Linked DNA regions of Alligator mississippiensis. The protein of the gene in region 2 purifies or fractionates together with the protein of the main gene of each other region. This does not show direct contact. Links are inferred from orthologs where the notes say so. Each region holds a gene or a part of one and is shown on either strand. Other genes may lie near its edges.

What was found. Proteins that work in one complex are often made in the same cells at the same time.
Region 1: the proteins of UBXN2A (region 2) and PPP1R11 purify together in Homo sapiens (affinity purification with mass spectrometry; 3 studies listed by BioGRID and IntAct, counting the BioPlex papers as one, with this or other methods). This does not show direct contact. The link is inferred for Alligator mississippiensis from reciprocal best matches to the Homo sapiens genes UBXN2A and PPP1R11.

What each region holds. Positions count from the first base shown.
Region 1 is NC_081834.1:54,002,715-54,008,392, forward strand, and holds PPP1R11 (E3 ubiquitin-protein ligase PPP1R11), read right to left. Parts: upstream 3,467-5,678; 5' UTR 3,295-3,466; coding exon 3,211-3,294; intron 3,068-3,210; coding exon 2,959-3,067; intron 2,175-2,958; coding exon 1,969-2,174; 3' UTR 1,682-1,968; downstream 1-1,681. UniProt on the Homo sapiens protein: Atypical E3 ubiquitin-protein ligase which ubiquitinates TLR2 at 'Lys-754' leading to its degradation by the proteasome.
Region 2 is NC_081824.1:16,046,562-16,052,239, forward strand, and holds the start of UBXN2A (UBX domain-containing protein 2A), read right to left. Parts: upstream 3,169-5,678; 5' UTR 2,979-3,168; intron 2,840-2,978; 5' UTR 2,771-2,839; intron 2,702-2,770; exon of another isoform or gene 2,606-2,701; intron 2,460-2,605; exon of another isoform or gene 2,392-2,459; intron 2,326-2,391; exon of another isoform or gene 2,245-2,325; intron 2,165-2,244; exon of another isoform or gene 1,564-2,164; intron 1-1,563. UniProt on the Homo sapiens protein: Acts to repress the ubiquitination and subsequent endoplasmic reticulum-associated degradation of CHRNA3 by the STUB1-VCP-UBXN2A complex in cortical neurons.

The sequences.
Region 1 (5,678 bases), on a different chromosome or scaffold from region 2:
AGAAACTATTAGGTACCAACTGTGCCGCACAACAGAGGTGGCTGTATCTTAGTGCTGGGCAAGCCACCCATCTGCAGGGTTGCTGTCCGGCTCTCAGCTGGCCTCTGTACCGCATGCCAGAAGTAGATTCATTTCAATGCAGTGAAACATCTCTGTATAGTGTTTAATGTAATGGAGCTCTCATTCCCTACAGATAGATGCCTCTTACTGTTGATCGTCGATCCATCTGCAGCACTGCTGCACAGTTGTTATTCGGCTGTGCAGAGCGGAGGTGGTTCTATTTCCAAACAGGATGAGTAATTCCTGTGCAGCGTTACTGTACAAGTGTTACTCAGCTGCTATGTTCCTCCCCAGAATGGGCTGCATACATGCGGCAGATCTTAGTACTTGGACTGAGAATTACAGGAAGATAAGAGATTAAACCTGACAGCAACAATACTATCCTCTAGGGGCACTGTGCCTTATCTGCCTCTTATTACAAGCAAAAAAGCTCCATGATACTGCTGAGTGCTGAAAGGCAGCAGATAGCACAGCTCTTAACGGTGGGGGTGGGGAAAAATAGCATTGCAGAGGTATTTAAGATTGCCAAAGGGCAAAATAATAACCTGAAGGAATGCACGCTTTGTAGCTTCTGCAGGCCAAGCATGTGTGCAGTCTCTCCCCTTCTCTCTCTCTCGTGCACACACACACACACACATACAGCCTCTGCACAGCTACACCCCCTGCCTCCCCATCCACTGCAGGGTCTTACCTATAACTCCTCACCTCCTTCCTCAAGCCAGGGACCCTGAATCCAGGCCTCCCATTCTCTCCTCATCACTAAGGGGAAGCATGTCATCAGCTCAGGTGACGAGATGCCAGCATCTCTGGGTGATGGAACGCCAACAGCCACAGGGGCAAGGCCAAGTGCAGCAAAGGACTCTTTTCAAGGTGATCAACAGAGTCAGGGCAAAGGAAATCCAGTTCATTCTTTGTAATACAGAAAGAAAAAAAAAAACCAAGGTGCAGCACTGGGTCTTGGGGAGATAATTTCTCTTTTTATCTTAGAAATAAATATCATTTGGTCAGGTCTTGCCTTCCCCACTTTGCTGGAGGTCTCCATGGAGGAGGTTAACATGTGGACCAGAAGACCTTGGAAGACGGGTAGAAACTGACTGTCACTGAAAGACTCTTACCCTCTGTATTTTTTTTTTTTTTAGATTTAGATGCCAATAAAGGGTACCAAATCAAATACAAATCACTGTCCTGAGTTTCATTTCCTTGGTAGCCAGGAGGCTGCAAATGCAACAGTTCTCTAGTCATCCATAGAGACTTCCAGGGGAGAGAGGGGAGCTGAATTTCTAATATATGAGAGAGAAGAGAGAGAGATCACTTCCCTTTTTCCCCAGGTTTCTGAGATAAAGCCCACAGGACTCCTCTGTACAAAGAGGAGCACCATGTAGGAAAACAAAACAGAAAGGGTTTCCTTAACAGGATACATTCACATATGTTACAATCAATATCCAGTGGCAGCCATAAAACGGGAAATAGCAAGGACCAAAGGTCATGCTTTAGGGTGGTGGGGAACACCGAAGGCTGGCACAGCTCTGCCAGGGGAGTGGCTGTGAGCTGGTGTTCAGGACCCTGAGCAGAGTTGGCAGTGGCCGGCTCCCCCTCTGCACCAGAAAACAGCAGGGCCCAGTCACCGATACAAAGGTTTAATAGAGAAGCGGAGAGAAATCAGCCAAGTGGGGGTGGGACACGTCCAGCCCCGTTGCTCAGTACATTCCATGCCAGGACACGAGACGGACTCACTGGCCACACACGAAGACGAACAGACGGACAAGAACAGCAGCTCACGTGGCCACGAGGCACACAGACAGACGGAAACACGTGCGTCCCCTGCTCTGGCCCCCATCAGTCCATCTGCGGGGGAGGGAGGGGAGGGGAGGGGGTGAGGTCCCCTGAGGGGCAGGAGGAGGGGGTGGCTCAGTGCTCCATGGCTCCATCATGGCTGTGGTCCGGTGGCTCAGCCTTGCGGGGGCTGCCGCTGCCTCCTCCCCCGCCTGCTCGCCCACCCTGGCCCTTCTTGTGGCCTCGGATGCAGTGGGCGTTGCCACAGCCCTCATCGTCCTCGTCCTCACTCTCTGTCGAGCTCTCGCCAAAGGCTCGTGGCTTCTCGTAGATGCAGCAGCCTGGGCAGGAAGGGAGATGGAGGAACGGGGGGAGGGGGACGACAGGAGGGATATGACAACGCAAGGCGGAGAAATGGAGGCAATTCCAAGATTCACAGCTGCCCCCTGCATGCAGCAGCTCTACAGCCCCCTCCCACACCCGGTGGGGAGCTCCTGGTCTCTGAGAAACAGGGGAGGCCGAGATAGGACTTGGGCGTCTTCTGCAGGCCTTCTGCTACATACACCCCGTTGCGCAATGCCCTGAGTGACCCCTGCAGCAGCCAGGCCCCTACACAACTGACCCCAGGTCAGCCGCTTAGACCCTCGCAGCAGGGGAGAAAAGTGGTCGCCCCCCGACAGCAGGAGATGGTGACGAGGCCACCACGCTCCTGACAGGGAAGAGGGATTTAAGATCAATGGGGCAGGAGACCTGTCCTGTCTGGGGGGTACGGGGCCTGGCTGGCTCAAGTAACAGGGGCCCTTCTCCTCCGCGCAGTCCGAGATCCAGCCCAGCACCGGGTCAGGCAAACTGGGTGCCCCGAGGATGGAGAAGGGGGCACAGAGCGTTTCCCTCGTGGTGTCGGGGCCAGGACGCGGGCGGGGAAGCAGCGAGGCGGGTGGAGGAGCTGTCAGTGGGCGACCAGAGGCCTCTCTCTCGCACGGGCCGGGGAGCCTAGAGCCCCGTGCGGGGGCGTGACGGCTCCCCGGCCCCGAGCACGGGGGACGTGCCGCGCCGCGGGCAGGACAAGTCACGGGTTGAACGTCAAGCCGTGAGCGCGGCGCGGCGGACGAGGCCGGCACTCACATTTGGAGGAGCGGCGCCCGAGATGCTCGTTGTCCACCGTGTCGCTGGACCACTCCACCTTCTTGTCCGGCTTCCGCTTGCGCAGCTTGATGGTGAGGCTGCGGTTCTCCTGCGGGCGGCGGGGCGGGGGGTGAGGGGCGGCGCGGACACCCGCCCCCCTCCCGGGGCCGTTGTCATGGCAGCAGCCCCCTGCTGCGCTCGCGGCTCCCCCCCCCGCTGCCATGGCAACGCCCGCCCCGCGCCCCCGCTCACCGGCTCGGTGACTTCGGTCTCGGTCTCAGTCTCGGTGACGGTGCCGCTCCTGCAGCCGCCCCCGGCAACGGTCGCCTCCGCCATGGCGCCGCGGCCCCAGTTGCCGGGGGGAAAAGTCTCCGCAGCGCACCTGCCCTCGCGCAGCCCGAGCCCCGGCCGCCGGCCCGCTCCGCCCCGCGGGGCACAGGGGCGTCGCGTCGCGTCTCGTCTCGCCCCGCCCGCCTCCTCCAGACGCTGCTCGCCCGCGCCCGGTGCGGCAACCTTCCCGCACCCCCCCTCGCTTCCGGCAACGCTACTTCCTGCTTCCGGCCACGGGCCGGCACCGAATGGAGTCCCCCGCGGTGGTCACTTCCGCCGTACGGGGCGCGCTGCGCATGCGTGGGCCGCACCTACCCTGGGCCACGTGACTGCAATGGGCTGCCTGCAGTGCAGTGGGCCTGGTCCGGGCCCCAGCGCTAGGCCTGATGGGAAAGTGAGGGCTTGGGAGTGCTGAGGCCTCCTCAGCACCCCTCTCTGTTCTCACGCCCCCTCCCACACTTGTGATGACTTAGTACAAGTGAAACACCATCATTTCCAATAGTACAACTTCCTCCTGCCCAGTAGGAGTGTCTCTAGCTGCCTGTCCTACCCTCTGGCCCCAGTGCCTGGTAGCCCCAGCAAGGCAATGGTGTGTGGACAAGGCTTGAACTGCAAATAGGGGTAAAACACGATGCTAAAAGTGTGGTTTCTTTGCTGGCTTCATTTTGCCTGGCTTGGTTCAAACAGCGAATGTTCTCAGCCGGCTCAGCCTGCCCGAGCCCGGAGTCTCTGCTTCCTGCTACGTTCCTGTCCCGGAGAGGCAGCGAGAGCAGGAAGCAGGGTCCCCATCTACAAGATTGGGGATTGCGTGTGCCCATGAGGGATGCGGAGGGCACCCTTGGTGCTCAACTCTGGGGTGCATCTGAGCAGGCCAGGCAAGCTGGGGAAATAGCCAGCTGAACACGGGAAGGAGAGTGGGTGCAGAGGTGCTCCCCCGGGAAGAAACACCAAGCAGAGCTCAGGAGGGAGTTGGCTTGGGACTAGAGCAACTAGTTTCTTTCCTGTGGACGCACATCATGGTACACTGTACAGTGAGCAGTGCACTGCAATACGTATTACATCACAAGAGAGGCAGCAGCATTTCATCCAATTATGATGGGGATTTTCTAGGTGACAAACTGCTTCTAAATTAATGCCATCACTTCTAATGTCACAACTTTCTGCCTGCTCAGTAGGAGAGTGTCTCTAGCTGCCTGTCCTACCCTTTGGCACCAGTGCCTGGTAGCCCCAGCAAACCAATGGTGAGGACAAGCTTTCAATTGCAAATATGGGTAAAACATGATGCTAAAAGTGTAGTTTTTTTGTTGCCTTCATTTTGCCTGGCTTGATTCAAATAGGGCGAGTGCTCTTGGCCAGCTCGGGCTGCCAGAGCCTGGAGTCTCTGCCTCTCTCTCCCTTCCCATGCCAAAGCAGTACTGAGAACAGGAATGAGGGTCACCGTTTACAAGGTGGGGGATTGCATGTGCCCGTGAGGGACGTGGAGGGCACCCTCAGTGCTCAGAGCTCTGGGGTACATCTGAGCAGGCAAGACAAGCCGGGGAAAATAGCTAGCTGAACATTGGATGGGGGGTGCAGAGGTGCTCCTGCCCCCACGCCCCCAGGAGAAGAAATACTGAGCAGAGCTCAGGAGAGAGGACTAGAACAATTTGTTTCTTTTCTGTGGATGATAAACACCGCACCGTGAGCAGCAGATTGTGATACAGATCACATCACAAGACACCCACCAGCATTTCACCCAAGTGTGATGGGGGTTTTCTGGATGACAAACTGAGATGGGTAAATCCTAGACAGGATCTGAAAGGGGGGTGGGGCATGGGGAAAAAAAGGGAGAGTCTAGTCAATTAATAAGGTTGCAAATAAAAAGGTTATGATAATGCAAAGCATGTATCCACTCCAAACCAAGGCAGAAAAGCTGCACAATTGCAGCTTTTGCCTCACAGCAAGGGATTTATAGACAGCAAAGTAATATAATTTATTTTATTATAAATGATCCATAAGGAGTTATGCCAAGTTTGTCCAGGAAGACAGGCAGTCCACCCAAAAAGTTCAGGCAGTCCCTTCTCCAGGCACCTCAAGCCTGAAAGAAGGGAACTTCCGTGATACGCTCACCCCCGCTCCTCCAAATTAAAAAAATGCAGTGCACTCAATAGGAACAGGATTTCCTTATAGAATACAGCTTCTGTGGTACTAGCCAGAAAGGGGACTGTGCCTGTGTAAGGGATATATAACTCTGGAAATCACCTCAACAGTCCTTTGAAACAGGAATTTGGATTTGGAATTCCCAAAGACTGGGAATCAGGGGTCGCTCTGAGGTTGATCCCCCAGCTCCGCTCCTCTGGACCTCAAATGCATTCTATGCCATCAAACTACAGGCAGAATCAATACTGTCA
Region 2 (5,678 bases):
ACTTTATGGTTAATTTTACTGTTATATTACAGGTAAAATTAAATACAAATTATGCAGCATACCGCTCATGTCAGCTGTCCAAATCTAGTATTAGAAAGATTTAGTGGCATGCAATCTTGCTGGTACAGGAGCCTACACACTTTGCACCTCTGTGTTATATTTTGTCCTCAAGTCATGAATTCAGTTTACATTCTTTGCTTCAGACCTGGCAGCAAGTACTTATCCGACAGTAGCAGAAGAACTGTAATGCCAATGCTTCCCTTCGAAGTCTGTCTCGGAGAAGAGAGATGATCACTACATGTAGGTGTAAGTGACGTCTGGCTCAATGAGGCCAGTCAGGCATGAATGAGAAGAACTAAACAAAAAGTTTTAGTGTCTAGTAGGCAAGTCTCTGGAGCCCCTTCAGTATCTCTAACTAACCAGCTGCTACATAACTAAGGGTCCATGTCACAATTCCCAATTTTTCTCAATTAGGGAGCGTCTCTAAATTAGAGCTTCAATCACTTACGATTATAAAAGTGACAAGCGTGCACTTACACAGGATTTCATTTTTGTTGCATAATCAGCACAAACACACAATTCCATGGCTGTAGGTAAACACGTACCCCATGTTTTCCCTTGCTCTAACCTTTCCTGGCATACGTTATACACACTTATTTCTCAAGACGTCAAACTTGCAATATGATCTGAGGACACACACTTACAGGACCAAGAAATGTCTTTAGCACAAGCACTTGTCATATATATTCTTATACAGCACTTTCATTAGTTAGGATGCAAGTGGAAACAATATTAAGGTTTACTCCGCTGCTTCAAAAGCTAGTACTATTACCTAGAGCCCAGGGGGCAGTTATACCATTTTTCTCCCTGTACAAAGAAAAGCATAAACACTGCCAAATACTACTGCCAGAATTAAACTTTTCAGAGAATAAACTCTTTGGAGCAGCAACTATTATTTCCTATATAAAGTATTATCATAGGGTCTAGGAGTCTTGATCATGGACCAAGATGGCTGAGTGTTTAGGTGCTAGTTCCTAGATGTGGTTTTGCCACTCTGAGCCTTTCTGGATAAAGTTTAAATCTAAATATTAATAGTAATAGCAATAAATACACTACAGGAACAGACAGGAGAAGTCTCATCCAAATGGCTACAATCTAGACAAATGAGAAGGAACAAGAGGCAAGGAAGCAAGTGCTTGCCTGACCTAAAGCAGCTTTAGCCTTGCTGAGATCTGTAGGCTTATAAATAAGTTGTTCAATTCATCCAAAACTAGAACCAAGCCTGCAAATGTTTTCAATTTCCCATAAAGCCTTTTTGGTCTGCCCGGGCATTCCCTCTACCTCCCCACCGCCTGTTTCCACAGGCTGAGCGTGGTGAAAAAGGAAGTAAAAAAACCAAAAACAAAACCCTTTGTGTTTTTTTAAGATTTACTAAGCCCCTCTCAACCAAAGACGAACACTTGGTCAAAAAACCACTGCAAAAACTTGCTCTGACCAACTCTAGAGCAACACATACCAGGCCTCCTGCCCTCCCCATGCCTCCTCGAAGGTGCAGCCGCTTACCCTCACCAGCACTTCAAATCCCAAGCGGATCCCCGCCCGCTTTTGATGGCTCAGGCGCCAGGCCGAAAACATGCTGGACTCCTTGCACACCAGCAGCCGTGTGACGTGGCCACATCCCGGCCTCTGCACATCTGGCTGCAACCCTCCTTTCCGAACGATCCCTCTGGAGCCTTTCGCTGCTGTTCAGTCACCCACACGTCACACGTGTCACACACAGACACTGCACGGAGACACAGACGTCACACAGACACACCTCACAGATGTCACACAGACAGACACAGGGATGCAAACAGACACAGACACACACACGTCACACAAACAACACACGTCACACAAACGACACCTCACACACACACAGACACAGGGATGCACGCACAGACGTCACACAGACGCAGACACACAATTGCACGCAGACACACACACACGTCACACACAGACAGACGTAGACACACACAGACGTCACACACAGGCGTAGACACACAATGACACACAGACATAGACACATGCACGTCACACGCAGGCACACACGTCGCACACACCCCTCCCTTTGGGGCAGCGCAGGCGAGAAGCCCAGGCCGGCCCGCGCCTCCCAGCCGCCGCCCCGCCCCGCCCGGCCCGGCCCGGGGGAAGGGGAAGGGGAAGGAGGAGGCCGTGCCCGGGCCCGGGCCCGGGGCCCCGTACCTGGCAGCGCGCGGACCCGGCCCCACGTGCTCCGCCCCTCGCTCCGCGCGCTCGGGCTCGGGGCTGGGCCCGCGGCTCCCCCGCCGAGGGAGGCACACGTTCACGAGCACCGCTCCGTCATTTTAAACAAACAAAAAAGCCCGTGACCTCGTTGCGGTGCCCGCTCCCCGCAGGGTTGCAGCAGCAGCGGCGGCGGCAGCAGCGCGAGGACCGGCCCTCACCCTCACCCTCACCCCCACCCCCGCCCCGCCGGTCACATGGGAGCGGCGGTGGCGCGGCCCCGCGCAGCTGGCGGGGACTCCGGCGAGGGCTGGGGCCGCCGGCTCGGCTTGAATGCGAGCGCCTCGTCCTGCAGCCGAGTCCCCCACGAGTACCTCGCCTCCGCCGAGCTGTCGCCCAGCTAACGCACAGGAGCTCGCCGCTATCGCAGCCGAAGCAAGCGTGGCGGGGTGAGCCGCACCCCGGACTCCCCGCTCCGCGCTAGCCCTCCGCTCTCCACGTCAGACTTCCCCTTTTCTTTTTTTACCTTCCTCGTTTAAATGTCCCTCCGGTCCAGGCGACGGGTTTCTTTCTAGATAAGTGCAGGTCTCTGGTGCTGAATGATAGACGGAAAAGAAATGGATCGTTTTAGAGCGGGTCCCACGATCCCTTTTTTTTTTAGTATTTTTTGTAGCATTAAGCATAAAACAATCGGGCAAAGCACAGTTAGTTTTATGCCTTTCCATTCCACATACCTATTAATATCAAATGATTATTTAGGGTAGGTAAAAGGGAAGGCAAGGGGATGTTCCCAGACCGTGTACAGTCATGGATAATTGATGGGGTGGCTTACTCAAAATGCAGTATGAAACTCCTCCACTACAGCACAGTGGGATTGTTTCTCCACAGCTAAGGGAGCTGCATCCGTTTCTTTGTCTTTCAGACTCTGTATCGGCGAGGGCTGCGACAGCAGTAAAAACAGCACACTGAGCCCTTTGGAGACTGGAATGCCTTTCATTATTCTTGAGAGACCAATTAAGGACTAGTGTTGACATATTCCAAAAGGGCTCCTGTCTGGGCCTTGTACAAAGTACAAAAGAACAACATCATGGTTACAAACCAGTGACTCAAGGTTGCAGAGGGTATGCAACAAAAATGAGAAAATGGAGTGGGATTTTCAGGGATCCACAAAGCATTTAGAGGAGCCTTCTTCCTTTATGCCACGCTGTGACTTGAACATTGTATCTTGCTCCTTGAAGAAATCCAACTCGGTGAGGAGCAGCTAGCGTTAGAAACTACCCAAAACAAACACAATAGCTGAGCGGGCCAAGGACTAAAAGCACATGCCGAGCTGAATGAGAGCAGCAATTTTGGTATGATTTGCAGCTCACACCTGCGTGCCTGTTCTAACAAGCTTTTTAAATCATCAGTGTAGTGTAAAACACTTAAAATGAACCTAAATTAGAAAGTCAAAACTTGCTAATTCACATTAATTAATAGGAGACTCATTGTGAATTAGTAGAGTGATTTAAAAAAACAAAGGTACTGTGCTAGGATGAATGTATTCTGTTCATTTAGGGCCTGATTCTGTCTCTTCTTACTCCTGCGGATTGGTATTTTATTGTTTAAATTGCCTGACTCACAGTGACTACTGCTCAAGGTGAGTAAGAGGAGTAAATTCACATCCTTAGTTAGTTTGTTCTTTGTAATTTTCTCTTCATTTTATTGTGATGCACCATGAATGTACTAAATGTTTTAGAGGACAATTTATAAGAATAATGGTTAGCAATATGAGATTAAATTACAGCTATCTGCTTCTGAATTTTTATTGGATTTTGGGGAGACATTGCCATTTTTGTGTGTGCCAATTAGAAAGTGTGCCTTTCATCAAAAGATTGTGAGATTCTGTTCTCCTGTGGTATTCATCTTATTTGCTTGACATTTTCAATCCATGTTGAGATCCTTGGATGAAAGGGTAGATTACTGAATAACCACATTTAATTCTATTAAAGCAGGGGTGTCAAACTTGAACAGCCCCCTGGGCTGGATCTGGACTATGGGACAGCTCACACGCCAGATCCAAACTTGGCAGCAGTGGTTGGACATGTGGTAGCAGTATAGAGGTTAACTCCCCCTGCCCCACCCTCACAGCACCCTCCTACTTTTACCATTACTGACACGTGTATCCCATGGGACTCTGTAGTCTGTACACCAGAATTTGGTAGTGGGCCCTGCCCCTGCTCGCCGCACCCCCTGGATTCCCAGCTATTCCAGGAGCCCTGCAGGCTGAGTGAAATGGCAGGCTGGACCTTTAATATCTCTTATTGCATTAACATAACAGCAATGTTTAAAAAGTCTGTGGCACTCAACTATCCTCAAAACTGGCTTGACTCTAGAAGGTGCTGTGCACTCTGGCCCTAATTAATTAAAAGTACTTAAGAATAAGTACATGGTTAGTATTAGCTATTGAGTTCTTATCCATCGTGTTAATGGTGTGTTGAACCCAAGTGAGCATGGTGAGTGAGACAAGACATTCCTGGTGTAACTATGTTGAGTGCTGAATTACAGGCAACTGGTTGACTTGAACCATGAACAGGAGTATGTTTGGAAGCATGGTGCTGTACCACTAGCCTTCTGGAGTGAGCAGTCCTGCCAAAATGAATTGAGCTAATCTGTAGCCCCTTTACTAGTTTTTCTAACATACATTACGCTACAGGAGTAAAACTGTTGGCAAAGCAAGTAGGTGAGAGGAACCTAAGAAAATCACATTACTGATTTTGAGCTCCAAAAATACCAGTATGTTAAAAAAACAAGAAAAATATTGAAACAGAAGTTTGTATAGTTGAAGTGTGATCATAGTCAAGGCATCACCAAAATACTCTCTTGGCTTTGGAAGTCAAGGGTGATGTTGTAGCCAAGACGGTCCAGAAATTATATGGGAGGCAAGGATGTCTTAGGGTGTTATCTTTTATGGGACCAACTGTATAGTCAGGATAGAGTTAGACAAGCTTTCAACTGCAAGACATTCTTAGTGTCCAACCTCCTACAATACAAAAAGAAGCTCCCCGTGTGACCACACAGCCCTGGTGGTCACCTATCACCCAATGCTGGAGCCAAGTGGAAGCATCCTCAAGAAATGACAGCCTATTCTTGGCAAAGATCAGACTTTGAGAAAAATATTCCCAGCTCCTCTACTCCTGGCTTCCAAACTACCCTCTAACTGTGCCCAACTCATCAAAAGCAAACTCCCCGTGGCCCAACAGACATCAAGTGGGACACAGCCTTGTCTTTGCAAGAAATGTATAACCTGTCAACACCTCTCCACTGCAATTACAAACAACGCTCTCCATGACAAAACCATCAGAATCCACCATGTGCCTTTCCCAAAATGTGATATACCTGATCCAGTGTACAAAATGTCCTCGTGGCAACTGTGTGCGTGAAATGAAACAACA